5 linked regions of the Bombyx mori genome follow. The protein of the gene in region 1 interacts with the protein of each later gene in a biochemical or structural test. Links are inferred from orthologs where the notes say so. Each region holds a gene or a part of one and is shown in the gene's direction. Other genes may lie near its edges.

Region 1 (5,961 bases):
AAAAAAGTGTCTTTTACTATTGAAAAGAAATTTGGAAATCGAAAAACATATAAGTATTTTTTTCTTTGTCATTGAATGTTTAAAGATTTAATGTTAATGGTTTGTTTGGTTTGTTCTAACTAAATTATAATCTTCAGAGAATTTATAATAAGAAGATTTATAGCAGTGTGATTTTAATGATTATATGAGTCATCTATTATCAAAGGTGGCAATCTGTGCATTTGGACAAAAAAATGTTATTGATATGTCAATACAGATTGATTTGAATATAATCGTCTCCTTCAAAGAATACGGTTCAAAACCTGCATTAAATAAAGGTTAATACTTAACCTGTTATTTATCTAAGATGTCGTTCAGAAGAGTTTTGTGACTGCCAATGGAATACAAAGTCAATAATTCATTTTTCTGATTTACCAATAATTGTCCAAAAGTCACATTGCCGGCTTTGATAATAGTCGACTCATATTATCATTTCAGGTGTATTTTGTTAAACTACAAAACTTATTTTACAATACCAATTTCTAATGAAACAAAAATAATTTAGAAATAAACAGAAAAAAATATTCAAATAACAATTCCAAATTAAACTATCCAATTTGCTACAATAGTAAATTAATTTCTATAAACTAGGTACCTTTCCTATACTTAGTGAATATTTTAATATGTAAGACTTAATTGAGTATATGATCAATATAAGAGCTTGTAGTTTTTCTATCTTAATAAAAAGTTCGAATGTATATGTGTCAACTTCATCAAGTTTGTATTTCACATGCAGCACTTGGTCCATTTATAAGTTTTAGGTTTATTTTTATTTTATTTTATGGAGTGGGTAACATAAAAATAGTATACTTATTTTGATAAAGAAAAGCTGAAAATTACTTTTTAAAATATTAATGGATGTAAATTGTAGCATAATTTGATTTCATTATTTATTTTAATAATTTTATTTCAATCAGTTGTTAAATTATTCAAATTTTAAAGCCTAGATACACTTTCAGTAACTTTGATCTTAATTTTCCTTCTCCACTTCATTGTATCTGACTGTTCTTATGAGTCATAACTTATTGCTCATATGCACTTTAACTAACTGGATAATTAAAAAAAAAAAATACACTCAAAGTTACTTTTGTATCCTATGATTTAATTTTTAACTCATGATAAATAAAAAAATCCGTACTATAGTTGAAATACTAAACAAGTGTTTACGACATTTCAGTTTTATAACAATAAATGTTTTCTTGTGAGGTTATACAGGTTTAAAGTTTTCGACATGGTTAGTGGCCCAAAAACAATGCAGATAAAGTAGGTTTCTTACAAGAATAGCGGAACGCAACAAATGTCTCGCATGAATGACAGCTATCATTCATCCAAGTCGAGTACGGGGTGGGGCGACCAGAATAAAGAACCCTCGTATATTTGGTTTGTCCAAAGATGTGTAGTTCTTAAAAAGAAGAAACTATGAAAATATCCTTCAAACTCACGATAGGCACCTTATTATCGGTATTTCATCATGAATTCGAGGTCATCGGCAAGACCATTAGATGTGCGAGAAGAGAGAAACTACAAATCTACTTACCGCTTGAAGCGCCGCTAACCTGTCCTTCGTCATCCTTTACAGAGAATCACGCACCAAGTAAACGTTTTTTCTCGTTACACAATCCCATTCAAAGATATTTTTCTAACAAACGTCACTAAACTAAAGGACACGAACACTACGTTCACTTCACTCAAAAAATCGATACCATACAAAACGTTCAGACGAGCAAAACTTCACTTATCGCTGGTCGCTACACTCGCTACCTGTCTCATGCTGTCAAATTTAATGTTGCCATAATTTTTTTCTAGGATCCACTAATATTAAATATAAAAAAAACAAGGCACACATGCTAAGAAACAACTTATAAGCTTCGTGCGCTACTGTGAAATGAAGATTGTGAGATGGATATAGTATGGCGACCAGGCTCATTAAAATTAAAAGAGGAGTACGTTTTAAGAAGGCCGCAAGACGAAACTCAGCAACGATATATTCATATAGGAAGGATCTCAGAAAGAAACTTTGCACGAAGAAGAATAGTTGCTTGTTCTTCTTCGTTCGAAAATCTATCGAAAGGCCGAAGATGGAAAAAATCCATCGAGAAGCAAGAGTGATTTTATAAAATTTTAATAGTGTAAAGAGGAAAAAGACGATCTTACGAAGTCTTTGTGGCCGATAGAATTCCCGCGGGCATTTACCATTTCTTATTGAAAGAAAATTTGTGTATAGCGTGTGTTCATGAATGGCACTCATGATGAGCAAATTAAAATAGAAAATTAATACAAAACCATTAATACAAAATAAGCTTTATGCTATATTTTTTTGGGAGTCATAATTGCCAATTTTGTTGGCAAAACCACTAAGATGGCAATGTTGAATATAAAATGTTTGAATTTGTAAGCTATAGGGGGCGTAGTGGTTTCGAAATACCAGTGACGTCAAATACCCTGTAGTCAAAACAGCGCATTATACGGCTTATATTATTAATTTTAAATACTGTTACCCAAATAGAAATTAACTCATTTACAAAATATATCTGATTGAAAGGTTAGTATATAAAATGCAAATTAATATTTTTTTAAACATTTGAAATAGTTTTACGTGGCTTTCATAAATTTAAAAAGACCTCACACTGACTCTTAATTCACTGTGCTTGTCAATGTCAAAATTGTCATTGTATGTAATCTTCCGCTTAGTCAAGTGACGCCATTGTGAGCCGTAACGACTTTGCTTTGGAACGAGTTAAATCTCGATTTTCTTATACAATCACGGTAAAGCCTTTAAAAAAATTATTTGTTTGTGTTCTATAAAAAACTGCCAATAAACTGATATCCATATTTATATTATTGGCGTTGTAGTTTTTCAGTTTTTCTCTTTAGAGTTCGGTACCTTCGAGCTAAATTCCTATGAGAGTGATTGAGCGCCATTCGCCGAAAAGTTAAAACAAATTCAAGTTGTCAAGTTCATTCAAACTCACAATTTATGTACCCAGTGATGAATTTAATCTGCTTAAAGTGTTGAATTATTTCTTGTATTCCGCGAAACCTAGTGAACGATCGATTGAAACGACCTGTCAACCGTGCGTCATAGAACATTCTATGGCTATATCCTAATTTTAGTTTACCACATTGTTTCAGAAGTAAAATAGCAATAAAACAACGAAAATGGCAGATGATATGCCCACATTCAAGTGTGTATTGGTAGGAGATGGTGGTACTGGCAAAACAACCTTTGTCAAAAGACATTTGACTGGAGAGTTCGAGAAAAAATACGTTGCGACTCTGGGTGTCGAAGTACATCCTCTAGTATTCCATACGAACCGCGGGCCAATTCGTTTTAATGTGTGGGACACAGCCGGACAAGAGAAGTTTGGTGGTCTTAGAGACGGATACTATATTCAAGGACAATGTGCTATCATCATGTTCGACGTAACCTCTCGAGTTACGTACAAAAATGTACCTAACTGGCATAGAGATTTGGTCCGTGTATGTGAAGGTATCCCTATTGTCTTGTGCGGAAACAAAGTGGATATTAAAGACAGAAAAGTTAAGGCGAAAACTATTGTTTTCCACAGGAAAAAGAATTTGCAGGTAAATAAAACTATTTTCATTCAATTTAAGAGTTAATTTTAAGGCAAAATGTTAAAATTCTTTGTAATTATTTTTGTTTCAAACTTGATTATTTTTTTCAGTACTACGACATTTCTGCTAAGTCAAACTACAACTTCGAAAAACCCTTCCTGTGGCTAGCTAGAAAATTAATTGGTGACGGTAACCTTGAGTTTGTTGCCATGCCTGCCCTTCTGCCACCAGAAGTTACAATGGATCCTCAATGGCAGAACCAAATTGAAAAAGATCTTCAAGATGCACAAAATACTGCTCTTCCTGAGGAAGATGAAGACTTATAAATATGATCAACGGATGTACCCAGTGCCCATTTTGTGATTGGAGGATCATGCAAATGTGTTCAGTGTAGCGTACACTAAATTTTTTCATTCCATTAGGTGATCGCAAATGAACATTATTTTAATAACTTATTAAACCTTCAATCATTTGCTTTAATTAATGTAAAATCATTAGATAATTTAACACGTAGCTCCTCTAGTTTGAGTTTTATAAAACTGTAATTCTAAACTTTTATATTGAAAGGCAACAAAAATATGAGTATTATTTATGTGTAGTTCATTTTTGTTACAGTTGTCATAAAAACATTTTGCATTGATTGCCCAATATGTGTTAATGCCTATTTGGTCACTGTTATTTATAATACACATGTAAACAAATTTGTATGATAACTCTTTGTAAACCAATAGCATGTACACACATAATATTATAATCTTGAAATTATTTCTTACTTTTGTTACATGCAAGGACTGACAATATTTCACTGAAAAATTGAATTGTGGTGATACTTTTTAAATAAAGTGTAAAAAATGAGATCGTGATTTTACTTCATCATATAAATAAAAGAAGCAATGGAGAAAATGGGTTGTTGTAACTTAAGATTCTTTAATAATAATAATATGTAGAATCTGTAAGTGATCTGATTTGTGTGGTTGTTCACAATATTAATGAGCTATCTAATTATTGAAAATATATGACGAAATACTGAGAAATTATTTATTAGCCTCTCTTAAATATTAAGTTTCATGAGGTAGGTACCTACACATTATGCATATGCCTTCAATATCTGGGATTTGACCTTTAGTGCCCTTGATGGCTGGCTCTGAGGCTTTTTCAAGCGTATCTCGAGTCGGGGCGGTTGCCGTCGCAATGAAAGTTACTTTTTAGTCGTTTATTCCTTTAAAACCCTGTCCTGATTGGAAATCGCTGGGGCGCTAAAAAATCACGGACGTTGGGTGTGGTGGAGGTTCATGGCACTATATTGTTCACCGGTTTGGTGTTACGCTCTGATCCTCGAAAATGCGACTGCGCTGTGGATTCCACTGCATCTTTGAGGTGGTGTGCATGCTCACCGGGGAATCACCCCGGGGTCTGGAGGCGGATGCGCCCGCCACGGATTACGCGTTGCGTGGCGATTTCCGCTCTAGGAGAGAATGGCGCACCGGTGAATAAGTGCGGAAGCTCTAATTTCGGCAGTCCGTGCTGAAGACGTTATGTCGCCGCTTGGTGATCCCGTCCTATGGTTTACGGACCGTATAAGCAGTCTGCGAGATCTTTCCGGACTAGGTGGGTCACGAGTCCCGACCGAAGACGCATCATTTTCCGACTGACGCAAGTGCTCACTGACTCCGGTTGTTGCCACCACTGTACTGACCGCAACGCGGAAAACATGCTCGCGCGCTGCACTGCGTCGGGCTGCAGACGGAGCAGCTTGCGGAAGGTCAGCGGCGCAAGCTGACACCCTCTACCTATCCTGTACCACGAGCCGCTCGATAGAAAGAACTCCACCCCGTGTCAAGCCTTAGTAAATATAAAAGAAAAAAGAACAACTAAGAATGATTATCGAGGCCCTTACTGGTCATGTTTTTTTTCAAGTAATACGAACTTATTTTATGCTAAACAGATAGTGATCTGTATAGGTCTCGCATGAATTTAATTAAACAACTCCTGTGACTTATTTCATTTTGCTTAATTAAAATTTTTGTACAAGACACTTTTCTTCGATCTCATATACTATAAGCTTTTATTAAATTTATGGAGGATAGAGGTAAGGAACACCATCTTGTATAGGGGACAAGTCGAAAAAGTGTGTACCTGTAAGCTGCCAGTTTTTATTAGAAGACTCACCGACACTGAAATAGCGCTAGTGTATGAAGTGGAAATGATATAAATGCAAATTATTAAAGTAGTTTTAAACAGAGTGAAGTGTGCTGGATTGAAGTGAAGTGTGGTAGTTTATAGTGCTGTTTTTTTTAATCTTTCCTCTTACTACTATGGCACCACCTTAATTGGTTCCCTTTCAGC
Region 2 (5,855 bases), on another chromosome or scaffold:
AGTTGTTAGGTAGGTAATTAACTTTTTAATATCTTTAATCGGTTACAAAACTGATGACTAAACTATTTAATATTCATAAACACTAAATTAAAGTCTTATCCAATTCAACAAATTGAAATCTCACAAATGCATTGTGACAACTCAGATTTGTCCGCTCTTCCCCCAATGTCCGGTAGTGGAGTAGTGTGGTGAGGTCCTTTTGTCCGTACTCTCCAATGTCCGGTGGTGGAGTGTAGTGGGTGTGAGTAGTAGGGTCCGGTTGTGATAGTGTGAGTAGTAGGGTCCGGTTGTGATAGTGTGAGTGTGCAGGCGCGCTGCTGGTGCCGGCGCGGGTGACGCTGCGGCAGGCGGCGGCGCGCGTGTGGGCGGGCCACCACGCCACCTTCGTGCTGGACGCGCAGCACGCCAGACTCTTCGCCTTCGGACTCAACAACTACGGACAGCTCGGTCAGTGCACCTCTCACTAGCCATCAACACTAGATACAGTTTTTTTGAAGTGAAACTTCTTTAAAATCGTTGTGAATCGTCGTCTGTGAGTTAAATCCAGTCATCAATGCTCCTTCCTAATATTATATACGATCTACAAATATTTATGTATACAAATAATAAAATATTTAAAATATATTCCAGGCATAACGGGTGAGAAACGTAAAACAGCGTTGTTTTCTCCGACCGAGTGTGACGCACTACGAGCCGTCGGAGACGATCACGCGTGGAGCGCTGTGGCCCTCGGACAACATCACACACTGACGCTCGCTGCCAACGGACAGATATATGCGCTGGGACGTTGTGAATATGGGAGGTATGGGAAATTCCAATATTAACCATTTAAAAAAAAAATTATAACAAAGCTTAGGTTCGAAATTGCAAGGCCGTCAGTCAATGCAAGAATAGCCTGACCCAAAATTTTCATATTCGTGCAAATTTTTATGCAAAACCGGCATATCCCTAGTTTCTGCCATAGATAACAAGTGACTTTGAAAACATTATATATATGTACTCGATATCAAATTTTAAACCCCTTATCTCCATAGTAACCATGGTAAACGTAGGCTACTTTTGCGCTTTTGAAATGCCAAAATTTCAAAGATTAAAAAATGTAAAGACAAGTCTCCTTTAAAAATTAGTTCAGATTGATTTTTAGTTATTTTTAAATTTAAAATAAAAATATAGGATCAAAATTAATAAAATTATTCCAACATTAAGAGCGGCGCGATAAATATGGCCTGGGGCGGCATCAAGCCCTAAATCCATCACCAACCTTAGTATATCACTGTTTTTGTACCACTGGTGGTAGGACGTCTTGTGACTCCGCACGGGTAGGTACCACCACCCCGCCTATTTCTGCCGTGAAGCAGTAATGCCTTTCAGTTTGAAGGGTGGGGTAGCCGTTGTAACTATACTGAGACCTTAGAACTTATATCTCAAGATGAGTGGCGCATTTACGTTGTCTATGGGCTCCAGTAATCACTTAACACCATGAGCTCGTCCATCCAATAAAACATTTTATGTATTGACATGTTGATTTTCCGCCAACAGGCTAGGTCTGGGCGACAAATCTGGCGACGCGGAGACTCTAGAACTAATACCCAAGCTGCAGAACAAGAAATGCATCAGTATAGCGGCCGGCACCAGCAATTCCTTCGCCGTCACAGACTCCGGTTAGTGGACAGCTTCCTCACTCAGCTTCACTCTCCATGAAGGAATCGATGATATCTTAAATTTTATTTTTAGATACATTAAATTCATTACTAAGACTGAAGTATTTTCCTTCTTCAACTGTCTTGAGTTATAATAATATAAACAGTTAAAATTGCTCTTACGGCTTATTCTCTTATTTCGTGATCGTCCATAATGATATAACTGTAAAGCATTAAAAATTTAAATATATCAAATAAAAACAGCTACTGCATGATTAAATCTTAAGAACATATAATTTAATAATAATGTGTAATATAACTTGATTTGTATCCAAACAATGTCCATTATAATTTACTGAAACTAGTGCCTAAATATATGACTTCTTGGTTACCAATATTTCTTGTATCTAAACTAGTTCCGACGCTAGCATTATCCTGACATAATTTTACTATTGGACTTTGATTTTGACAGCTAATGCTTGACAGACAAGACAAGATGAAGAACCTGTTGATTTGTCCAAACAACAAGTGGATCAGTTCTTTGTTAGATATTTGTTTGTTGGGCTGACAAAGTAACTGGAGTCTATAAGCCATCATTAAGATTTTAATTACATTACATTTATAAAAAAATAGTTATCCCTTCATTATGTATTTCTTAATGAGTTGCATGTCGTTTCATACATTCTTCATATTATTAGTCTACATTTGAGTATGCTCATTTTGAACTACTTGGTACAATTTTACGAGAAAAACCTAATTTATTTTGTCCTCTAACGAGAATTTGAGTGAAATAGAGATATATGATTTAGAATTGCAATTGAATTTGTATTCCAGGCGAAGTGTACTCTTGGGGCATGGGCAGCGAGGGGCAGCTGGGCACCGGAGAGAGCGAGGACCTCAACGAGCCCACCCTCGCCGCCGTCGACAGCCGTGCGCCCCTCCGCGTCTCCGCCGGCGGACAACACACCGTGCTGCTGGTCGTGAGTGCCCATGCTCTTTATTGCTTCGATGAGTGGACGAGCTCACAGCCCACCTGATGTTGAGTGGTTACCAGAGCCCACCCATCTTGAGATATAAGTTCTAAGGTCTCAGTATAGTTACAACGGCTGCCCCAACCATATAAACCGAAACGCATTACTGCTTCACGACAGAAATAGGCGGGGTGGTGGTACCTACCCGCGCGGACTCACAAGAGGTCCTACCGCCAGTTATAAAGCAATTGCAAATTGCAACTTGCAACCTGCATCCTAAGAATTACATTTATTCTCCAAAACGTAAAGAGTAAAAGAAATTAGGATGTACAGTTTCTATCTCGATTTTAGGAGGAAACATCGTCGCAGAGAGAACCTTCCCCGATTCCTGAACGTGAGACGGAATCCCAACAATCCGAGGACACCGAGGAGGAGGAGGAGGAGACGAGTAGAGCGGACATCACCGAGCAAGAGGGAGAGATCACCTCGACGTCTGCAGCCAAACCTGAGGACGTCTCCAACGATACGGAACCTCAGGTATCTAGTTGTTTGCATCTCATATCAGTGACTAAACCTCCCCAGATTATACAATGCGGCATCGTTGTGCTTCTGTATCTGAGTCGTCCCCTTACTCCCTGCCCCCTGACCCAGTTGTCTGTAAGCAGTGCTGACTGAGAATCCTGATCGAGCCATTACTCTGGATTGTCTCACGGTCCGTTCATGGGACAATATGTACACAAAACTAAAAAGAAATGTATCCTTCCTTGCTGCAACTGTACCAGAGCATACAATGACACAGCAAAGAAATATGTTTTGATATGAGCTGTATGTTATTTTCTGTATTCACGGGAAGCTAGTTCATTTAAAATATACAGTTGAATTTCTGTACTGATAATTAATTATATGTATTCAACTGCACCTGACATTATAATGTGATCGTGAGCGTTGTTCTAATTGCTTATTTTTTTAAAGGGATTTTATGACCTGCTAACTAAAACCTTTAGGTCAAGTCTTATTTTAATGTATATTCTTATTTCTATGAAAAATGATATTATGGAGTAAAATGAAATAAAATGAGATGAGATGAAATATAATCTCAGTAAAATGGTATTTTTGGAGGATCCCGAGAAGCAATGTCCAGAGGCTTTGTTTTATTTTCCCACATTTGTGCCCTTTCACAGATCCTAAATATTTAATAAATCAGCCTTATTACTTGTTTAAATCTGAAGAAACACTAAATGGATAAAATAAAACAAATCACACAACTTCACTCCTCGCGTTCCCGCCCAAACGTATGTTCTAGTTGCATTAACGTCGTCCTAACAGAGTATTAACTGTAGACAGGGCCGAGAAAGGCCGGGGCTCGGCGGGCCCCCCGCGGCGCCCCCCCGCGCACCAGGAGGCGCCTTTAGGTCCGCGGCCCCACTCGCCCCCGGGTGCTCCCACTTTACTTTAGTATTCATCATTTTTGGTATCGGTTTAAATATGTAAAGACGATATTTGTCTGTGAGAGCTGTGGTTTCTACAATGGCTGAAGCTATTCAGTAACGGGTGTCGACTGTCCCGCGCATTGTCCCTCCAGTTCAGAGGAATAGTTGAGCTGCAACATCTTGGGCCATTGTTGGGAAATATTAACACGAATAGATTTGTGTAAAACTGAAGTATTCGTAGTTAATGATGTCACGTAGTTAAATATCATAAATTGATTGTGGTTTAAGCGGTTTCTGTGTATCAAATTACCAGTGTAACGTCAAAACTAAACTATATTTTAATTATTGTCAGAAAATGTTACCATATTTATCTCACGTTTACACATAGTCATCACGGACAATTCCTCGCTTCCCTGCGAAAGGAGTGGCTTGTGATGCGTTAATGTATAGTGAAACCATTTATCTCGTACACTCCACAGTTGTATAGATTGAAATGTAACTTCAGTAACAGTTGTTGTTGTGTTGTCCCGTTGTATGTGTTGTTGTATTCAGAGTGAGGGGCAGGGGTGTTGGGGGGGGGGTATCAGTCCTCGTATCAACACGTTACAAATTGAATTCTCCACACAATAATTATAAGATACATTGTCGCGTGTATAATAAAAACAAAGTTAATTCGTTTTTATTGTAATGTTTGTGACATATATATTGTTTTTGAACCGGTGTGGGGTAGTAACAATCGGTAGTTAGTTGTATTGTTTGATTTAAATATATGTTTTTAAGTAGAATAGAAACTATTGTCATATTTTCAAAATCAAAGTATTATATGCTGTGACTTAGTATCTTATTAATTGAGCCCATCCATACTACCTGGAACCACTGCAGTCATCCACAGTGCGTTTCCAGAGGTCTTTTTTGCCACGTACTATCCGGCTATGGAATGAGCTCCCCTCCAAGGTGTTTCCCGAGCGCTATGACATGTCCTTTTTCAAACGTGGCTTGTGGAGAGTATTAAGCGGTAGGCAGCAGCTTGGCTCTGCCCCTGGCATTGCTGAAGTCCATGGGCGACGGTAACCACTCACCATGAGGTGGGCCGTATGCTCGTCTGCCTACAAGGGCAATAAAAAAAAATCAACATATTGATATTGTTTTCTTTTAAACGTCGGTTCATATTTATTGACACGGTAAAATTGAACTAAAATTTGATATCTACTAGAAGTAATATTGTGCTGTTATATGTCATATAATGATTGTGTGTTTGTTTGTTATGTTTCCAGAAAGTGAACGGAGATGAGAAAGAGACTCCCATGGAGGTTGATGAAACTGGTGAGTGATATTTAGTAGTCGCGTCCCGACCGACAAAACTGGGGCAGTAAGGTCAGGGGTTGAGTTCGGTGAGCTTGGGAATTGTTTAGACAATAATAACTGCGGGTGCAGAGTGGACGCGGGGTATGGGGAGCACCGCAACATGAGTACCACAGTCTTCAGGTCCAATAGTAACGAAATAACATTTGTCTTTTATGGCATAAATAGGTAGACGAGCTCATAGCCTGTCTCGCGTTAAATGGTTACCGGAGCCCATAGACACTTATAACGTAAATACCGCCACATACCTTGAGATATATATGAATTACAATGTCTCAGTATAGTTACAACGGCTGCCCCGCCCTTCAAACCGAAACACATTACTGCTTTACGGCAGAAATAGGCGGGGTGGTGGTACCTACCTGCGCGGATTTACAAGAGGTCCTACCGCCAGTAACGAGTCAACGAAAAGTAGTGTCTTTAGCGTGGAACTTCACTGTGTAAATACTGGT
Region 3 (6,350 bases), on another chromosome or scaffold:
CCCTAAGTACTAAATGCGTGGTACTAATTATTTTTATTATTTCGAATCTCAAAATCTTTGTTTTTGAATGGCGCACAGGTGAGTAAAATTAGGGTTATGTTGTGTCAGAAAGCTGGATGAAAAGTTGCTCTGCTGTTCATTTAATGTTGCTTTTATTATTAATGCAATAAAGGGGACAACGTAACCAATACCCAAAGAAAAAATTTCAGACCCCCTTTTTAAGAAAGATATATCAGATATCCTGTAACGTTATATTGTTGGGATGTTCTATGAAAAAAACATTATTATCTATTTGGAATTTGAAGTCTATAAGATTATTTTATAACCTACCATAATAACCTGCGTATTAAATGGTTTTGATAACAAACAAATTCATAATCACTTGTGTGTACAAATCACTGAGTGAGTTAATGTTATTTTCAATTTTCAATTTCGTATCTAGACACTCATTTAATAAGTGTTCTAAATAATCTATGCTAGACACAATTTAGAAAAATAAAGTAGTAGTAATTTTATTTTACCAACTGGAAAGGCCACGGTGTCAGACCATACAGCCTAATCTTTTGTATATACCGGAAAAATGGGGCGATTAGGGACAAATTCCAAATTTATGACCAATTTTAAGGTAGTTGTTGATGTATATAATGCTATATCAGGATCAAAATGATTGAGTCTTGGGGGCATCATTATTGTCCAATTTAAAACTACGCAACTAGCATTCCAGTTTAAGCAAAAAAAGCAAAAATAGGTGTAATCCCTATTTACCCGGAAATAGCGGTTAATTGGGACGAAATGAGAAATTTGCTAGGGTTGTAGGGTTTAAATTAATTTATTTTGTTGCATAAAAAATATTGAAAAGCTGAAAAAAGTACATGGGAGATGTCACCTCTCCCCCACTCTGAACAAATATTAAATATTTTATTATGTATGTATGTATGTACTTAGACATTTTTGTCCACCTTGAGATTTCATTGTTCTTGTTACATGTCTGTGCAAAATCGACTTACTTATATTAAATTGCTTAGCTATTTCAACTAAAGACTTATTCCCAATTTCATATGCTTCTATTGCTGTTTTTAATATTAAGGGATCATATCTCTTATGAGGCTTTGCACTCTTTGATAGATACACGCGAGGCATATCTAAAAATAGAAAACAATACTTAACTGATAATATAAATATTTACCAAACAATAAAATAACACATTGATAATTTTGAATAAAAGTTCTAGACAAAAACATCATGAATAAACCAGATTTTTACCAACAAATTTAAAAAATATTGTTATAACTACATAGACAACCCTACAAACCTGTACCTATTTATACTTAGGTCGTTTCCATTTCACGTATTCTCATCCCAATTGACCCTTTTTTCGTTTTTATTTGTACCTAAGACGTCCCCAATATCCCCAAAAACAACAGATTTTGACATGTATTTTTATTTTATCAAATACATTAAAACCAATAACAACTGAGACTTACCTTTAATATATATGATGGTTCAAACACTAAATAACGTTTATAAATCACAGTCGTCTTCTATTATTATCAAATAAATAAAAGAGAGCAAAGTTTCTAGCACTAAAATAATTACCACCACAGGAAGTTAATTTGAAACGTGATTTTTTATAAGTTAGCAGCTATTATCATGCATATTCAGAGTTGTTTTGTAAACTTTCAACATTCTACTATTAAACTACAAAAAATGGAAGATTTTGCAACGAATATAAAACTAATATTGAGCATCGAAAGATTTTCCCGGTTTTTTCCCGATTCGCCTCTCAATCCCTAATCGCCCCATTTTACGGTATATATTTTTTCATAAATGAAAAATGATAATATGACGTGAAATGAAATGTGATGAGATGAGATGATATGGGATGAAATATAATCTCAGTAAAATGGTAGGTAGTCATTTACTGAGACTTTTGGGAGGATCCCGAAGAGTTACATCCAGTGGCTTTGTTTTATTTTCCCACATTTGTGCACTTTCACAGATACTAAACAGTTGATAAGCAGCTTAAACCCGAAGAAACACTAAATAGACAAATAAAACAAATCACATAACTTCACTCCTTGCGTTCCCTCCAAAAAGTCTAGAACAATTAAATTGAGTCAAAACTCAGGGGGCTTTCAAACTCTAGATAATTATTATGTGTAATATCTATGCTCAAGATTTTCACTATTGTAAGTTGGTTCTACACAATCCTGCAAGATCTAACTAAAGACATAATTTTATGGAAGTGATTTTATTTTTTATGCTAATTTTTATAAATTTTAAAGTTTGGTCTTTGAATTAATCGGACTTATTTACACAGTCAAATTATCTGTGCTATTTACTAAATCAAATTTAATTACACTATTTAAGACAATTTCTTGTTTTAATTTGTGAAAAACTAAATTCTGAACAATCTAAAAGACAATAAATTTAAATATAATAACATTTATTTTACTTATTGTCAAAATTCGATAATCTATTCATCACGTTCCCAATACCGGACCTCTCTGTCAGCGAGTGAAATAAATCTCAAAATAGTTGAGAAATTAAGTAGGTACATAATATTTCCAACTTTTTAAGTTCATTTAGTCGATGTTTTCATTGTTTTCTTAACTGGCAACAAAAAAGAAAGTGGCCAGTAGTATGGCATGTTGGTTGGATGAAAAAAATTGTTCCTTTTGAAGAAGTTCAACATGGCAGGAGATCAGGCGCAATTTTATCAGTTGCTAAATACTTTACTTTCAACCGATAATGATATCAGATCCCAAGCAGAGGTAAGATAAAGTTCTGTAATTTCTATTTGCAATTATTGCACTATGAAAATAAATAAACTGCCTTGTCTCGACAAAACAGAAAGCCTCGTGTCAAAACGTGGTCATGGAGGTTCCGAACGAATATAGTTTTTTGAAGCGATAAAATATAATAGCATTTGCACATTAACTACTTTATAAAATTGTTAGTACTGAGTAATCTGGTGTTTTACTGCTTTATTTTGTATTCAAACCTTACTACATTGGTACCGCCACATACAACCGCTTTTGGAATTTAGGAGGGCGGGTACGCACATGTCTTGTTTAATGTAGAAAAATAAGGTTAGATAAAGAATACACTCGCATCATAATAATAATTGTCAATGCTGTTGTTAATTACAATATTGTTGTGTGAAAATTTTCGGTCGTAACTTCAAACTAAGGTTGAGGTCAAGTTCATGACCATTTTGCCTATTTCATTACATAAGAAAATAGGCGGTGCCCGTGACCTTAGCGAGAATTTTTGGTACCTAATAAACTGCGGAACAGATTGAAATAAAACTGATTTTTTTTAAAGGACGCATACAACAACATTCCAACAGAAACAAAAGTAGTGCACCTAGTGAATTCAATTCAAAATGCAGACATTGCCGAAGATGTGCGTCAAACGGCGGCCGTGCTGTTACGAAGATTATTTAGTGCAGAATTCTTTGAGTTCTTCCCGAAATTGCCATTTGAGCAGCAGACAGTGCTCAGAGAACAATTGTTACTCACCCTTCAAATGGATCTTTCCCAGTACTTACGAAGAAAGGTGAGTTGTATGTATGAGTATGTAATAAAAGCAATTGATGCAAAAAATAATTAGAGAACACTTGTTTCTGAAACTCTAAGAATGTAATACTGAACACAAACAGAAAATATTCATATTAAATTAGTCACTGCTTATTATTTTTGACAGTATTAGTCACTTCACACAACTTATACTTAATACCTTTCCTTTTTTTCTGCAACAGTACACCTGGGATGATATTCTTTCTCTTATCTTCTTATATTCTAATATTGAGTGGTCACCATACCACATAGACTTCATGTGAATGCTACCACCCGGTTTGAACTCTTTTAAAATTAATTAAGGCATCTGTGTATTGAAGGCTTACTTGTAAGCTATCAGTTTTCTCCACTCATTGCTTTTTTTTTGCTTGAAATACTGTTTATCATCATCATTATCTAATAAGAATTTATCAGACAAGTCCTCAATCATCAAATCTATGGGGAGGCTATGTAATCAGTTTAACCAAAATTCTGAAGATGACTGTAAGGTGGTAATAATACATGGAGATTTTTATAAACTTTAAAGAGATGGTACAAAATTTGTATAAAAAAATTAAAATGTTATTTATGAACAATGATGAGTATTTTTGTCCTTCAGTGCTCAAAATGTGCTCAAAATTAGTCTTCTTGTTTTAGTCCTATTAGTTGGGATGTGTTGATTATATTTCTGTCACAATAATATAGTTTTTATACTATATTGCATCATGTTGAGAACATATGATGCTGTCTTCATGTCAGAGAGAGATGTAAATTGTAGTAGATTAGTCATTAAACTGAACCAAACCTTTCTGCAACTGATCTATTTAAAAATATTAAAAATGATGTGGTGAAAGATGTGGTTTTGGAAAAAAACTAATGAATAAATGATCAGTAATCTTTATCAATTTTGGGGAGGTGTGTCTGAATTTAAGGTTTACTTAAATGCTTTGGAACAACAATACTTTCACAGTGAAAAATAAATAAGTAATAAACAAAAAAATGTATTAAAAATGTCCATTTACTCATCAGGTTTGTGATGTAGTCTCTGAACTGGCTAGGAATCATATTGATGACGATGGCAACAACCAGTGGCCTGAGTTCCTACAGTTCATGTTTACCTGTGCCAGTGCGCAAGATCCAAACATCAAAGAAGCTGGTATTAGAATGTTTACGTAAGTTTCAATTATTTTAATTCAATTTTTTTTCTTACTTTTATTTTACACAATAAATCTTTGTTTATTGTTAACAGATCTGTACCAGGTGTATTTGGAAATCGTCAGACTGAAAACTTGGATGTGATAAAAGGCATGTTAATATCTGCTTTGCAGCCAAATGAATCAATGGCTTTGCGAACTCAGGCAGTTAAAGCTGTAGGCGCCTTTATACTACTACACGATAAGGAGCCCATCATACAAAAGCATTTCAGTGATGTTCTTCTACCTTTGATGCAGGTTTGTAGATTTGTTCTCTATACAGTAAATAGTGCACTGATCACATCCATAGCCAAGATCAGAAGCATTCTTAACCTACAAAGAAAAAATAAGTGAATAATTATATTTGCCTGCTTAATATGATAAACTCAACAGTTTTTTTTTATGTATGCACAAATACTCCTACGTGCACATTTTCTATAATAAAATGTGTTACTGCCAAATTGTGCAAAATTGAATTTGGAATTTCGCTAACACCAGCCTTGTCTATAAGCTGGAGTTTGATAGTAATTCTCAATACATTTAAATTCTTAAATGATCTTCAAAAGGGATAGTATTATATTTTGAATGAAATAGTACATGTTTTTGTTATCAGGTAATAGTTCTGTCTATTGAAGCAGCTGATGATGACTCTGCATTGAAAGTACTCATTGAGTTAGCAGAATCAACACCTAAATTTCTCCGACCCCAGCTGGAGACCATATTCCAAGTTTGCATAAAGGTATGTAAAAAATGTCTAAAATTACCAATTCATTTACAAAAAAATTGGGAATGGGTAAAGAGACTATAAACGAAACAGCCATAAAAAGTAGAACCCTAAAACATAAAACTACTCATTTAAGAGTGCCAGTGAACTTGTGACCTTAGTGTATGTTTAAGGAGCATGCCCCCATTAATTAGGATTGTGGTCATTACTTGTTGTTTTAGTTAAATTTTTGTTTGAAAGCATAATCAGAAACTAAAAGTGGCTAAATTGACATTAATTTGTATCACTATTGAAGATCAATGAGAGTCTTATTGCTACAATTGATATTTGAAATAATTATATCTGTTATTGTAGTTTGATATAGCAAAATATTTATTGTATGGTATAAAAATATCATTTTACAAATCAAATTAGGTGGTTGGGGACAAAGATGCTGAAGATAACTGGCGCCAACTGGCACTTGAAGCGATGGTAACATTATGTGAGACAGCACCAGCCATGGTGCGTAAACAAGTGCCCAATGCCGTGAGCATGCTCACTCCACTTGTACTTGAGATGATGTGTGAGCTTGATGAAGAGCCTGACTGGACCATACAGGACAACACTGCTGATGACGATAATGACCAGTAAGTTACCATTTTAATGATTCTCATATTGCAAACCCAAATGATTCAAATAACATAGGTCTTGATAGGAAATATGTAATCATATTTACAGATTTAAGCCTAACTGTTTAAAGGATTTACATATATGCTACAGTGTTTGTAATTAGACTCTAATGTTAATTTCGGACAGCACCAATTAAATGCTATGTAAGCAAATACCGTATTGAATAATATGATAAATCTGCTTGCTGATGAACAAACTTATTCA
Region 4 (6,298 bases), on another chromosome or scaffold:
TTTCTCAAACAAAAGGAATTAATTAATTTTAGGCTGTTCGGCTATTACTAATATTATTTTTTAGGGTGGAGGGTTGCCCAGAAGCTTCACCAGGACAGGGGGTGAGCACGGCTCCTGACTGCTACTACCCGGCTATTATTTTGATATTCTGTCCGAGCTTTGCTAAGGATCTTCTTCACAGGTGCAATAAACAATTTGTTGAAACAAAATTATGAGTTGGATAACTACAATAATATTTCGATAAATAATTATAATAGCGGTAGCCATCATAGAAATTCAGCAAAAACCTGAATCACGCTAACAACTTTTAAAGATAAGGTTACTTTTACTTTAAAAGTTCCGAACAGACCAAATTTGGATCGTCGAAAAAAGGCTCGTTAGAAAACCACCCTCTTTCCTTTATATTAACTACACACGAAGATTTTGAAATAAAGATCGGGGGTATTGTAATCGAATTATAATACTACCTACTCGTTGACCAAATAACAGGTAATAAAAAAAAGCATTTATTTCAATTGCGTCATTTTTAAATAGGAAACAGCTTTCCCATCTTGCAGTTAACAGTGTAAAGCCCATAGTAATTAAGGATTACATTGTGAATTCTACCTTGAGCCGTAAAGATGGTTGTTTTTTTTTTTCAAAACCGGAAAAAATGATGTACATATCTTCTCAGAAATAAGTAGAGCAGTGATTTGGATTTGTATCGATTTAAAATAAGCCGATCTTGGTGTAATTGAGATCGAATCCGGGTCAGAGCTAGGTAAAATTTGAAGAGCTGCTCTTACGGATAATTCGCAAATACCAATAGTAATAATCCTAATAGACAGTAGTATTCAACGCGAATACTTCTTTTGTTATTATACATTTAACCGGAGAGTCATTGCCACGAGTATAAAGTAATTGAAATGAAGCACAGAAAAGTAAAACAACTGTTTTTTTTTAATATAACATTATTGACAACTAATGTAACAAACAAACCCACCATCATTTCCTCCAAATGATTCAAGTTGACATTTTCCAGAATTCGCAGAGGAACGTTCTTTCTTACTTTGACCGCAGGTTTGCTTTTAATTTTAATACAATAGTGCACTTTAGCAATCTTGCTTTCGAAACTAGATGGTAAATCTAAGGGGAGAGCGAAGTGGAAAGGGTAAGTGTAGATACCCGGTCTAATCTTTTTACCTGCGAAGTAAACACACAAGCTCAATTTAAGACAGAGATAATTTATAAGTTAATGTTTTCCAGCCAATGAATTTGGAAATATGTATTATAATTTGATTCGACATATTCAACATTGTGGAGAGATTTTTTTTATTTTTTAAAGAATGATAAGCTCAGAAATACAGTCGCTCATTAATATTAAAATATTTATAAAAGTGGGCTTTTCCCCAAGACTTCGAACCTGATGGAGATGCATCATTCGAACTATTGCATCTTGCCCGTTACGCCACAGGCGTCTAATAATTCTTCACCTCGTTATCTTGATATTCTAGTTAGAAGGTACTAAAGTTTACTTTATCTGCTGTTTTATGCCAACATTTTAAAATTTTCCCCTATTATATTTCCAGTATCTAAAGCCGATTTGTTTATTTAATAATTAAGTCAAAATCATCTATTTGTGCTGCAAATAAAATTTATGAACGAATGCTAAATGTAATAATAATTTAAAAACCGACACTAAAGCAGTTATTTAAACTTAAATCGCAAGACTATATAAGTATTACTTACCACTAATTATTTCACTAAAAATGTCACAAATGCTAATGCTTAATATTTTTTTCTTTTCTGAGTAAATTTTAATATATGGCATAGTGGGCATGGATCTGGTCCATTGTGCTTTGCTTATACCTATAACATGTAAATCGATTCCTGAGAAAGAAAATAAAAAATATTTAAAGTTTACGTGTTGTATAAATTAAATTCTATTTCAAGGTCAAGCGTGAAAACGTCTATAATTCAATTCGTTTAATAGGAAAATAAAATTAAGGCCTACTTTCAATTTTTTGTTCTTGGTCAAATTCTAATATCACGGTTCCGGTAACTATGTCACCAGTATAAAAACTTCCCGTAGAATCACTGTTTAATCGTACTATACAATTATCCCAAGTCATTTCAATGTTATGAAAGCAGCTAGCTTAGTCATTAAGAATTGACTAAACGTCTACCATTGCTATCTTGGTTCATTTGATAAGCTTCGATAAATTACCTCAAGATAATGACTTCCAAATTTCTTATTATTTGTGGGATAATAAGTAGTTTTAATAAACAGCATTTGAAAATCAAACAACTAAAATTTGAGAAAATCTGATGATACTAAAAAACAAATCAAACCCCTCTGTAATAAATTAATAAATTAGATTATGTACTGGATCTCCCCCTTTCTGTTGTGTCGACCAATAAAATTACGTAGGTACTTACCTACATAGACCAGTTTAAGTTATTTTGAACGAATTCATTTTTATTGACATTTGACAACCTGAATTATTCCGGTGACACTGACAACAATGCTGACATTCAAAAATCGGTATTCCGATGGAGTTTTGCGATTTTTTTACTTAACGTTAATTTCGATATGTTTCGTTTGTTAAAACATTCGGAGTTATTCCTTTAGCGAATAAAATTATTCTATCCATTTTGTTACAATTCATTTGTAATTGGGCTACTTCGCTTCTTATATTCCAATAATTCGGAGGTAGTTAGGTTATGTTATGTCCTATGTCGGAGGGTGAAAAGTAAGTTAGTTAATTCATTTCCGAATTAAAATTTTGTGTAATGCATTCCTCTGATTTTCTCTTTTATTCCACAGAGCGCTAATAATAAAATATATAACGCTTTAGAATTTATATAATCCGTCGACTATGTAGACATTTAAAACTTATAAACATATTATTTGCTATTAATTTTATATCTTTTAGTGGACTCCTGTTGAACTGCATTTTGTGGTTCTGTTCTAAAGGATTCTTCTATAAGATATTTTTTTCTTATATTCTTCTATAAGATATTTAAGATATTTCTTCTATAAATTCGTATTGTAATATAAGTATTTTGCTGATTATTTAATTTAATTCATGATCAGAAAATGCAACTATGTAGTTAAGTAAAATCAATTTATAAAATGATAATAGTCACCATTAAATCCAAAACATAAGTAGTGTCTCAACAGTAGGGACATGTGTAGAGTAGATCAAATCATTACTGGTCAGTCTTGAAACTAAATGTTAAAACATTAAAATTTAATTGTCAATAATTGTTGATACATTAACTATATTGTCATATTAATTTCGGAATTTTTATTGCAATCTTCAAATTCTACTACAGCTGATCATGGATCCGAATATCTATGCACTAGTATTGGATACCCTAAACAAGGCCACCAGCCAAGACACAGAAGTTTTAAAACCAGCTGAGAAAAAACTGCAGGAATGGGAGATAGAACCAGGATATTATTCTGTCTTATTGGTAATTACTTGTTATATAATATATTTGTGACATATAATATATTTAGTATATATATATATATAGTAATAATGGCTTTTTAAAATAATATTCTGATGAAAAAAAGTATTTACAAATATTTTATATGAATGTCATATAAGAAATGGAAATTATATTATGAGGCAATTATATTAGACTCTCACAAAAACTAGTTAATCAAATAGTTGTTTGATTGTTGATTTAATTGGTGGTTTGATTCAACTACCGATAAAAATTTTGAATTAATAACAACATCAATACTCAATTAAGTACATTGAGTATAGTAAAAATGTGAACAATTAAACATTTTTGAAACGAATGATAACATGTATTGTTATAAATTACAAAGATAACTCTTATTCATTTTTATTGTAGTTATAAATTGTATTAAACTTTTGTAGCTATCTATAAGTATTGTAGTTGTATTCCTTAGTGATAATTCTAATTTCTAATTATTTTATCATGTCTCAGAATGTGCTCACTAACCACTCAATCGATGTGAATGTAAGATGGCTTGCTGTCATGTGCTTCAAGAATGGAGTGGACAGGTACTGGAGGAGGAATGCTCCTAATGCCATTTCAGAGGAAGAAAAACAGAAACTAAAACAGGGCTTGCTAACAACAAGTATTTTAAGTGAACCTGTCTCCCAGATAGCAACACAACAAGCAGTTTTGATATCAAAAATCGCTAGGTGAGTTTTTTTTTGTTCCTTTGGTTCCATATGACACAGTGTCTCTGGGCTGATACTGAAGGCATTGTATTGAATTTATTATAGGAAATAAATAGCCAGTCCAAGTAGCCAAATAGCTAGTAATAGTGTTGATGATTTTTAACACAATAGCACCATATCATAATTGAAGATATATATTTAACTCAAATTTTGATACCCTCACAGTTCCATTTATAATCAGCTGTTTGTTACTGTTGCAAAAAAAAAGCATAACTAGATCAGTTTGAGTTGAATCACTAATTTGATCAAGTTCATTTCGTCTTCTAGGTTTGACTGTCCAGCTAACTGGCCAGATTTAGTTCCAGAGCTAATGGGTGCCATGAAAACTACACAACCTTTGATCCAGCACAGATCTTTGTTAATCTTCCATCATGTAGTCAAGGCTTTGGCTTCTAAAAGATTAGTTGGTGACAGGAAGACATTTCAGGTGAGCTAATACGATAAATAGGAAAACATATTTATTATCAAATATCTTTCATTTAATTACATCTTCTCAAACATTTGTTCTATTTATTAAACAAAAAATACAATGATATTCATTTACTGAACCATTAATGGTTATTTTGTAAATTTATAACTGTATTATTACTGAACAATCACTTAATAATTTTCACATTCAACAACCTGAAGCTAATAATATTTTTTTTTTTTTTTTTTTTTATTGCCCTTGTAGGCAGACGAGCATACGGCCCACCTGATGGTGAGTGGTTACCGTTGCCCATGGACTTCAGCAATGCCAGGGGCAGAACCAAGCCGCTGCCTACCGCTTAATACTCTCCACAAGCCTCGTTTGAAGAAGGACATGTCATAGCGCTCGGGAAACACCGTGGAGGGGAGCTCATTCCATAGCCGGATGGTACGTGGCAAAAAAGATCTCTGGAAACGCACTGTGGATGACCGCAGTGGCTCCAGGTAGTACGGATGAACTCTGATGATGATGATGCCTTATAGAAGGGATGCCACTAATACATACATACAAGAATAAGAATGACAATGAATGACATTAAAGGTGTAAATGAGAAACTGATATTATCCCATCAGATCTTGGCATATGAAACATGGAAAAAAATATGTTATGCTTTAGAGGTCTTATTGAGATGGGTGAGGTGGTGATCGAGTTTTTTTTTTTTTTTATTGCTCTGGTGGGTGGTCTAGCTCACAGCCCACCTGGTGTTAAGTGGTTAATGGAGCCCCTAGATGTCTACAACGTAAATGCGCCACCCACCTTGAGATATAAGTTCTAAGGTCTCAAGTATAGTTACAATGGCTGCCCCACCCTTCCAACTGAAATGCATTATTGCTTCACTGCAGAAATAGGCAGGGTGGTGGTACCCACCAGCGCGGAATCACAAGAGGCCCTATCACCAGTAATTACGCAAATTTTCTTCTATAAGTTTCTTACTTGCTGCCCAAATTTTACCCAAAATGTATGATTCCAGGAATTAACCAACTCAGTGTATTCATTCATATTAAGTCTATGGCACGAGAACACGGAGATATTCTTACGTCAGATCCAAGAAGGGGCCGCCACCGAAATAATTACCGAACATCTAGAGAAGGCCCTCCTGTGTCTTAGGATATTGCGAAAGTTGACAGTGTTCGGTTTCAAAAAGGCGCACGAAAGCCAAGACGCTGTTGCTTTTTTAAACGTAGTATTCGATCGGGCTAAGTCCAGCTTGGAATGTCGTAAGTAGTAATATGAATTTAACATTAAAAAACCACAAGCTCATTAGGGTCGGTTTATACAGAAATAGATGCTACTGAAGCCTACAGACACCACAGTGAGTAGTATTTCTCTTGCACTCAATTGCATTGGATTGCTTACTGATTTATCCCTCAACATATAGATTTATACAGGATGGTGTTGCCACATCTATGTTGCTACGAAATTCACTAAAACCAGTAACTATGCAAATTTATGACTTAAATGTTAATATTGATTATGGATGTAAAATCTAGACATTTGGAAGAAATTGTTATAAATTGACTGGCATTCTAGCAGCTTTTGTAGTTGAGTGCTTTAAAATTTTCTCATATTGTTCACTGCTCGATATAACAAGTTAAAATTATTACAACCAACCCTTAAACATGTT
Region 5 (6,510 bases), about 7.4 Mb from region 1:
GCACAATTGTTACCACTAATCGTTTTGGGAGTGTTAAATAGAATTTATATTAGTAATTATAGGCAACAGAATGTATCACTTACCAACAATGGCAGTTATGTTTGGTGCAATAAAAGTCATTCTACTTTCAACATACTCATATATTTGCGATTTGAAATTGTTCAGCTCACTTGCCATATCACAGGCCTCATTGATTTCTTCTAGTTCAATTTGGCTTAGTAATTTCCTGTCAAATGATTGAGTTGTTTAATAAGTAACTATTTTACACAAAATGTTCATCAAAATAAATCTTCAAAGTCCCTGTTTTGTACTCTAGTCCACTATAATAATTTAAATGAATTTGAAATGTTGCATTTCTACATTTTTATTTACATTTATTCTTTCTTCTTCCTAGTCGTACAGTCTTAACAGAGTGGTTGTGGTCATGTATCAGTCGAATTCTGCGATACCAATGCTCTCGCGTTGCAATGACATGTGGCACGATGTTTCTCAGAGTGAGTGCATTGATTTATATTAGCAAACAAAATAGACCACAAATAGAAAACAAATAAGAAGCTAACCCTTGAGTTGTAGATGCAGTAACAGAAACAATCATAATAGTGGCCTGAGTAAGAAAACTCTGTAATATTTCATTATTCTTAGCCCTGTCCAAATCATTGCCAAGTTCTTTCACTGTCCTTATGTATTCCAATGGAGTGATGATTAGAGATTCCAATTCAGGAAACCGTTTCTGATATTTGTCACGGACAAATCTGTGAATAATAGCTGAAAATTTGCATTTCTTGACTTTAATATTGTAAGCAGTAATAATTAGACAACCAAGATAATAATTTCATGAAAAGAGAACTATTAACACTACGTTCAATCATAAAAGTTCAATTCTCTGAAACTGTTTTAATAAACAAATCAACACATGAAAAATGGAGATTGGAATGCATACCTATTTCACCATCAATTTCAACAGCAACATTATTTGCTTCCACAATCAGTTGATACTCAGGGTCAGACTCCATTAAGCCAGCAACTTCAACCTTATTTCTGTTATTTCCAGCATTACATTCTATTTCACTCATAACCTAAAAGTTGTTTACATGAAAAATTGTAATTTATATTTAAACTGTTCTTCAAGAAACTTTATTAAATACATACACGTTTCAGACGATCAGAATATCTTAGTTTCGCGAGTTCTCTTATCGAGACATTCTTGATTTCTTCTTCTTTAGGTAAGACGGGATATGGAACTGCAAAGTCGTATTCTTCTTTGGTTTTGCTCTCGATAGCAGCTTCGAGTTCACCATCGTCATTTTCTTCTAAATCAGCAAGTAATTCGTCAGCTAGAGACATGCTTCTGTAGAACTAAATTGATTTTCTGAGTGTTAAGTTTATGTGTGAGCTTGTTCTGTTTCTATTGTATTCTGTAATATTCTACAATTATTACAGTTTTTTACTCAAATCGACTTTCACAGCTATACAGTATATTTCATTTAGTATACATTATAGATATTAATTTGATTTTTTAGTCAGCGATGTCATTAAACTTCAATAGTTTGTACCCAAAACTAAATGATTTACCTACCTATGTACCTACGGCGACTAATATTTGCAATAGTTAATTTGAAAAGTAAACAGAAATGACAGTGACAGTACGGTACTTGACAGTAGTAAGTAGTACCGTACCTACCTAGTATGTAGTAATTCCATTTTTCCAAGTATAAAGACGAAGGTATCATACGATATGTTTATTCATAAATTATAGATTCTCTTTCATGGAAATGATATGAAGCTAAATGAATTTAAGTTGATTAACTGGAGATATTCATTAATAGAGATGAAATTAAATGAAATAAGATGAGATGATATGGGATAAAATATAATCTCAGTAAAATAGTGGTTAGATATTTATTAAGACTTTTCAGTGAACTTTTCAGTAGATCCCGAGAAGCTGCGCCCAGCAGTTTTATTTCATTTTCCCACATTTGTGCATATTCATAAATACTAAATAGTTCATAATTAACCACCGTTATTACACATTTAAACCTAAAGAAATACTAAATAGACAAATTAAAACAATTCACACAACTTCGCTCTTCGCGTTCCCGCCAAAAGGTCTCACAGGACGGTGACTTTTGATTGTTTTTTACAATTTAAAAAATACTGAAAGCTGTAATGAAATAGTCTTGGTTTTTTTTTTAAGAATTGAATCAAATTTATGAAGATTTGGAGAAATCGCAACATAAACAAAAAACTAAGATAAAGCTCATGAGAACCCTTATCTTCTCCATACTCTCGTACGCTTCTGAGACGTGGACCCTCAAGGCCCGTATCCGATTGAAAATTGACGCATTTGAAATGTGATGTTGGCGCAAAATGTTGGTCGTATCATGGACGGAGCGCCGAACAAATGTATCAATTCTCTCGGAGCTAAACGTCAAGACCTGTCTATCTACGATCTGTATGCAGCATCTCCTCAAGTACTTCGGACACGTGACCTGACGAAATCTTGACAAATTGGAAAAAATAATAATTGTAGGTCACGTGGAAGGAAAGAGAGCTCGAGGAAGATTGCCAACCAGATGGACGGACATTGCCAAGGAAGCCACAAACACCAGCGTTCCGGGTGCCATTCAGCAGGCCAAATGCAGGCAGCATTGTAGGAAACTAGTGCAATTAGACCAAGGTGGTCACGACTCATGATCCACAGTAATGAGGAAGCGACGAAGAAGAAGAAATGTACTTTTAATCTGAAGAATTACGTGGATCAAGTTTGACTTATTTTCTAATAACAATTGAAAAATATATTACAGGATTTTCCTAAAAAGTACGTCAGAGCATTAGATTTTAATACTTTTAATCCATAATAGTGGAAACAGCTCAGCTTTAGTAGAAAATAGTAGTGTTGTATGATCTTATACCTCTTAGACACTACATTCAGAATCATTAAAAAAAAATATGTCATAACTGTCAACAAGCAGAATAAATTTTCAAGCCCCTTTTCGTCAGTTCGTCACATCTTGAATTTTTCGGCTGGAATTGGGCTTTTTGTTGGTGGTGTGTAGACGCCTAATATTTAAATAAAGTTAAGTGAACACCTTCCTATTCAATTTTTTAGTATATTCAAAGATATCAATCTTTTACAGTGACAAATAGACACATCTTAATCTAAATGGCGCTCAATCCGCAGTACGATGCAATCGGTAAAGGTTTTGTGCAACAATATTACACATTGTTCGATGATCCGGCTCAACGGGCAAATCTTGTTAATATGTACAATGTGAGTATTATTACTGTACCGTTATTTTTATTATATTATGGTTATCTTCCCTTCTCTCACATTTTGAAAATAGTATTTTACAATTTAAATTTTGTTTAGAGGTTAACGTCTGGTTTTACCGACTGCGAAACTCGGCTTCTCATATAAAGCAATTACGTAGAATTTAGACTGAAGAAACGATACAAAGCCTCTATTTTAAGTGTAATTTAAATATGTCCTTTTTAGAATTGTGTTACCATGTGTTAGTACAATTTTATTCTAGATCTTTTAAGTGATGTATTTGTTGATGCCCACTAGGGTGAAAAATTGGTGTCAACTGGACATTGCGATAAATTTTACTTTATACCCCTTTTTTAACAATGTTGTATAAACATTTAAACATAGTTGTTTCAGGACTATTGCTTGTTAAGTTATTAATAATGACTTGTCTTGCAGGTTGAAACTTCATTCATGACCTTTGAGGGAGTACAACTGCAGGGTGCTGTTAAAATTATGGAAAAATTAAATGTGAGTAAATAAGAATTTTACCAATTTTGAAGATATTACACTAAAAATCTTCTCTAACACAATCAAAAGTACAGTTATGTATTTAGGAACAGTGCTTATATTTACAGGTTTTGTTTAGTTGTTATTTAACTGAATTTTTTTTTGTATACACTAAAATTTTCATTCTGGTTTCCTCAGTAGTTCTTTGTATAACTTTTTTTATACCTACTTTGTAACATTTTTTTCCTACATATATACATAATTTGTGCTTGTAACAATAATAGTGTAGTTATTGTTATTATGTTATATCTCTGTGTTAAGGCCATCCTGGTCGTAATAGTGGAGTCTATAGGCATTACAGATTTAATGTTACCACCTTTATTGTTGAGACATGAGATCAAAGTCTGTACTGTATCTAACTGTATCTGATAAAATTACTGCTACTAAGAAGCTATATAATCCATGTTGCTGTTTTTGACCAGAAGGCATCTATTGTGGTAGAGCAGCAAAGGTAGAATTGTGGAAAAATTGTCGTTAGGTCTATCACTTTAGAAATAACCTTATTTTTAATAAAAATGAAAATTAATATTACAGAGTTTGACTTTTCAAAAAATCACTAGAATAGTAACTGCTGTGGATTCCCAGCCAATGTTTGATGGAGGCGTTTTAATTAATGTCCTTGGAAGATTGAAGGTAAATAGTAAATATAAATCACCATTTAACTTTATGTGTTTAATTAAAAATATAATTGCTTTATTTACCTAAACAGGTGAATCACATAATATAAAGTAAAAGTTGTTTATAGTAAATACTATAAATTAATTTTATCATTTAATATCATCTTTATTTAAAAAAATTTTTATTTACGTCATTTGAAATACAGTATATTTTTGTGGTAATGTATATATAAGGTGTTTTTTGTCTACCTTTGAATATTTTTCTAACTGCTAGCTTTCTCTAAAATATTTCTTGACAGTGATGTCTTTTCACACACAAACAACTATCTTAAGCTCTGGCAGTTTGTTTGACTTGGGTTTTCGTAGTCACGAGAATCCTAAGTGTTAATTAAGAGCCAATCATTTTCTCTGTAAAATTAAGGTATTTTAAATTTTATTTTCATGACCTCATATACTATATGTGTAACTAGCTTTCTTTGGTCAGTATTTAGATTCAAATTTAACTGAATGGTTAATAGAGCTGTCTAGCCCATGTTAATAAACTGCGAGCTTGTGTATTCAATAACTCTTAATGTCTACAATGTGCTCATTAACTGTAACCTATAAATCTATATCTGAGAGTGCACATTTAAAATCCTGTTTATAAATACCTGGATCCTGCAAAGTAAAACTGCATTTTAGTCTTGTAGTAGTACTAGTAGTTTTCTTTACGCACACCAAAATATATTGCCAATACTTTCTCTAACTTCTTTGATGTAAGGCAAAAACCTTGGAGCCCGTTCTACTGGCTGGTTTCCTTATGAATGAAAGATTCCTTTGTAGCGCTATATTTTAAAGTTATTTAATATGAATCCTTACAACAATTATTTAGAGATGCCAGGCTGAGTGTTGGGTTGGTAAAATGCCACACATTCGTTTGTATATTGCCTGGTTGAGTTTGTGTCTGTGACGAGAAAGGAGACAAATTTTTAGGAGTAGGTATGAGGTTATCAGTGTATGGGTGGATACTCAAATGTAAAGTTTTATTAAAAGGTACGAAAACGAAAAACACTTAGGAAGCGCTGCTTTATACATACCTATGTATCTGTTAATAAACTTTAATAATTATGTTATCGTTTTCTATTCAAAAAATTAAGAAGGGTTCTCATGTCATTTGGAAAGAATTTGTAATATAGCAAAGTTTCGTAAGGTTCTGTATAATCTGTAGACAACAACAACAGATCCAAAAAGTTTTCAGGGTCTAGATGCATTATTCCTTAACTGACTATACGTAAATTTTGTAATACTACAGGATTCTAATTTTAAATTGTTTATTTTTTATTTTCAGTGTGACGAAGATCCTCCACACCTATACATGCAAACGTTCGTGTTGAAGCCACTCGGAGATTCATTTTATGTTCAGCACGACATTTTCCGTTTAGGCATCCATGACATAGCTTAGATCACAAGGACAGACACAACACGAAGAAATGCTTAACTTGAAATTTGATATAACATACAACTGTTGAATCAGAATTCTTGACATTTGGTACACATTATATTTTTCTTGTATCTATTTCGTCAAAGAATTTATGAAATTGAAAGGACTAGACGATTATGAAATTATGATAATGATCGATTTAGTGATCGAACAGGGTAATCTAAAATGAGAATTTGGTTTTCATTACACAGAAAATGGAGATAAATTGTTACATGTTTGTAAACGAACAAATTATAAAAATGAAAAACCGCTTTCATTATTGTTACCCTTGGAGATAATGCGATTTTGGGTTACGCCATTCTTCGAGTTGTCAATTATACTTTTAAATATCAATAACATACAAACACTAGTTTCATCATGCTTCTCAAGTCTGTTTGGTTATCTAGGTATATAAGTGCTATCAAAAATTGTGAATAGCTGTTACTAAATTTGGCATCTTTTTGTGCTTTATTTAACGTTGCTACGAGAACTCTTTGCATTATATGTAAACATTTTATAACAAATACATTATAATTTTCTACACGGTCTTGTTTATAATAAATTTTTTCCTACCTATTCTAGTAACCACGAGGGGTTATTCTAGATTCGCCGAATTA

Evidence for each region.
Region 2: the proteins of GTP-binding nuclear protein Ran (region 1) and regulator of chromosome condensation form a complex in vitro, tested with the Homo sapiens proteins (6 studies listed by BioGRID and IntAct, with this or other methods). The link is inferred for Bombyx mori from reciprocal best matches to the Homo sapiens genes RAN and RCC1.
Region 3: the proteins of GTP-binding nuclear protein Ran (region 1) and importin-5 form a complex in vitro, tested with the Homo sapiens proteins (2 studies listed by BioGRID). The link is inferred for Bombyx mori from reciprocal best matches to the Homo sapiens genes RAN and IPO5.
Region 4: the proteins of GTP-binding nuclear protein Ran (region 1) and importin-11 form a complex in vitro, tested with the Homo sapiens proteins (2 studies listed by BioGRID). The link is inferred for Bombyx mori from reciprocal best matches to the Homo sapiens genes RAN and IPO11.
Region 5: the proteins of GTP-binding nuclear protein Ran (region 1) and probable nuclear transport factor 2 form a complex in vitro, tested with the Homo sapiens proteins (3 studies listed by BioGRID, with this or other methods). The link is inferred for Bombyx mori from reciprocal best matches to the Homo sapiens genes RAN and NUTF2.

Annotation. Positions count from the first base shown.
Region 1 is NC_085116.1:5,373,532-5,379,492, forward strand, and holds GTP-binding nuclear protein Ran, read left to right. Parts: upstream 1-2,729; 5' UTR 2,730-2,805; intron 2,806-3,171; 5' UTR 3,172-3,198; coding exon 3,199-3,624; intron 3,625-3,725; coding exon 3,726-3,941; 3' UTR 3,942-4,470; downstream 4,471-5,961. Other genes in the region: syntaxin-1A, read right to left, coding at 1,577-1,609. UniProt on the Homo sapiens protein: GTPase involved in nucleocytoplasmic transport, participating both to the import and the export from the nucleus of proteins and RNAs. Switches between a cytoplasmic GDP- and a nuclear GTP-bound state by nucleotide exchange and GTP hydrolysis.
Region 2 is NC_085130.1:7,888,676-7,894,530, reverse strand, and holds part of regulator of chromosome condensation, read left to right. Parts: intron 1-309; coding exon 310-447; intron 448-630; coding exon 631-802; intron 803-1,539; coding exon 1,540-1,661; intron 1,662-2,474; coding exon 2,475-2,620; intron 2,621-2,962; coding exon 2,963-3,148; intron 3,149-3,951; coding exon of another isoform or gene 3,952-4,023; exon of another isoform or gene 4,024-4,078; intron 4,079-5,315; coding exon 5,316-5,364; intron 5,365-5,855. UniProt on the Homo sapiens protein: Guanine-nucleotide releasing factor that promotes the exchange of Ran-bound GDP by GTP, and thereby plays an important role in RAN-mediated functions in nuclear import and mitosis.
Region 3 is NC_085121.1:12,778,265-12,784,614, reverse strand, and holds the start of importin-5, read left to right. Parts: upstream 1-2,487; 5' UTR 2,488-2,693; coding exon 2,694-2,774; intron 2,775-3,327; coding exon 3,328-3,561; intron 3,562-4,589; coding exon 4,590-4,732; intron 4,733-4,809; coding exon 4,810-5,011; intron 5,012-5,366; coding exon 5,367-5,492; intron 5,493-5,891; coding exon 5,892-6,103; intron 6,104-6,350. Other genes in the region: DnaJ domain-containing protein, read right to left, coding at 331-333. UniProt on the Homo sapiens protein: Functions in nuclear protein import as nuclear transport receptor. Serves as receptor for nuclear localization signals (NLS) in cargo substrates.
Region 4 is NC_085127.1:2,267,318-2,273,615, forward strand, and holds the start of importin-11, read left to right. Parts: upstream 1-2,510; 5' UTR 2,511-2,732; intron 2,733-3,318; 5' UTR 3,319-3,324; coding exon 3,325-3,459; intron 3,460-3,945; coding exon 3,946-4,166; intron 4,167-4,472; coding exon 4,473-4,632; intron 4,633-5,644; coding exon 5,645-5,891; intron 5,892-6,298. Other genes in the region: arrestin domain-containing protein 2, read right to left, coding at 983-1,182, 1,729-1,869, 1,994-2,111. UniProt on the Homo sapiens protein: Functions in nuclear protein import as nuclear transport receptor. Serves as receptor for nuclear localization signals (NLS) in cargo substrates.
Region 5 is NC_085116.1:12,785,580-12,792,089, forward strand, and holds probable nuclear transport factor 2, read left to right. Parts: upstream 1-2,905; 5' UTR 2,906-3,048; intron 3,049-3,137; 5' UTR 3,138-3,163; coding exon 3,164-3,271; intron 3,272-3,706; coding exon 3,707-3,778; intron 3,779-4,351; coding exon 4,352-4,450; intron 4,451-5,761; coding exon 5,762-5,875; 3' UTR 5,876-6,436; downstream 6,437-6,510. Other genes in the region: U4/U6 small nuclear ribonucleoprotein Prp31, read right to left, coding at 84-226, 561-765, 941-1,076, 1,150-1,344. UniProt on the Homo sapiens protein: Mediates the import of GDP-bound RAN from the cytoplasm into the nucleus which is essential for the function of RAN in cargo receptor-mediated nucleocytoplasmic transport.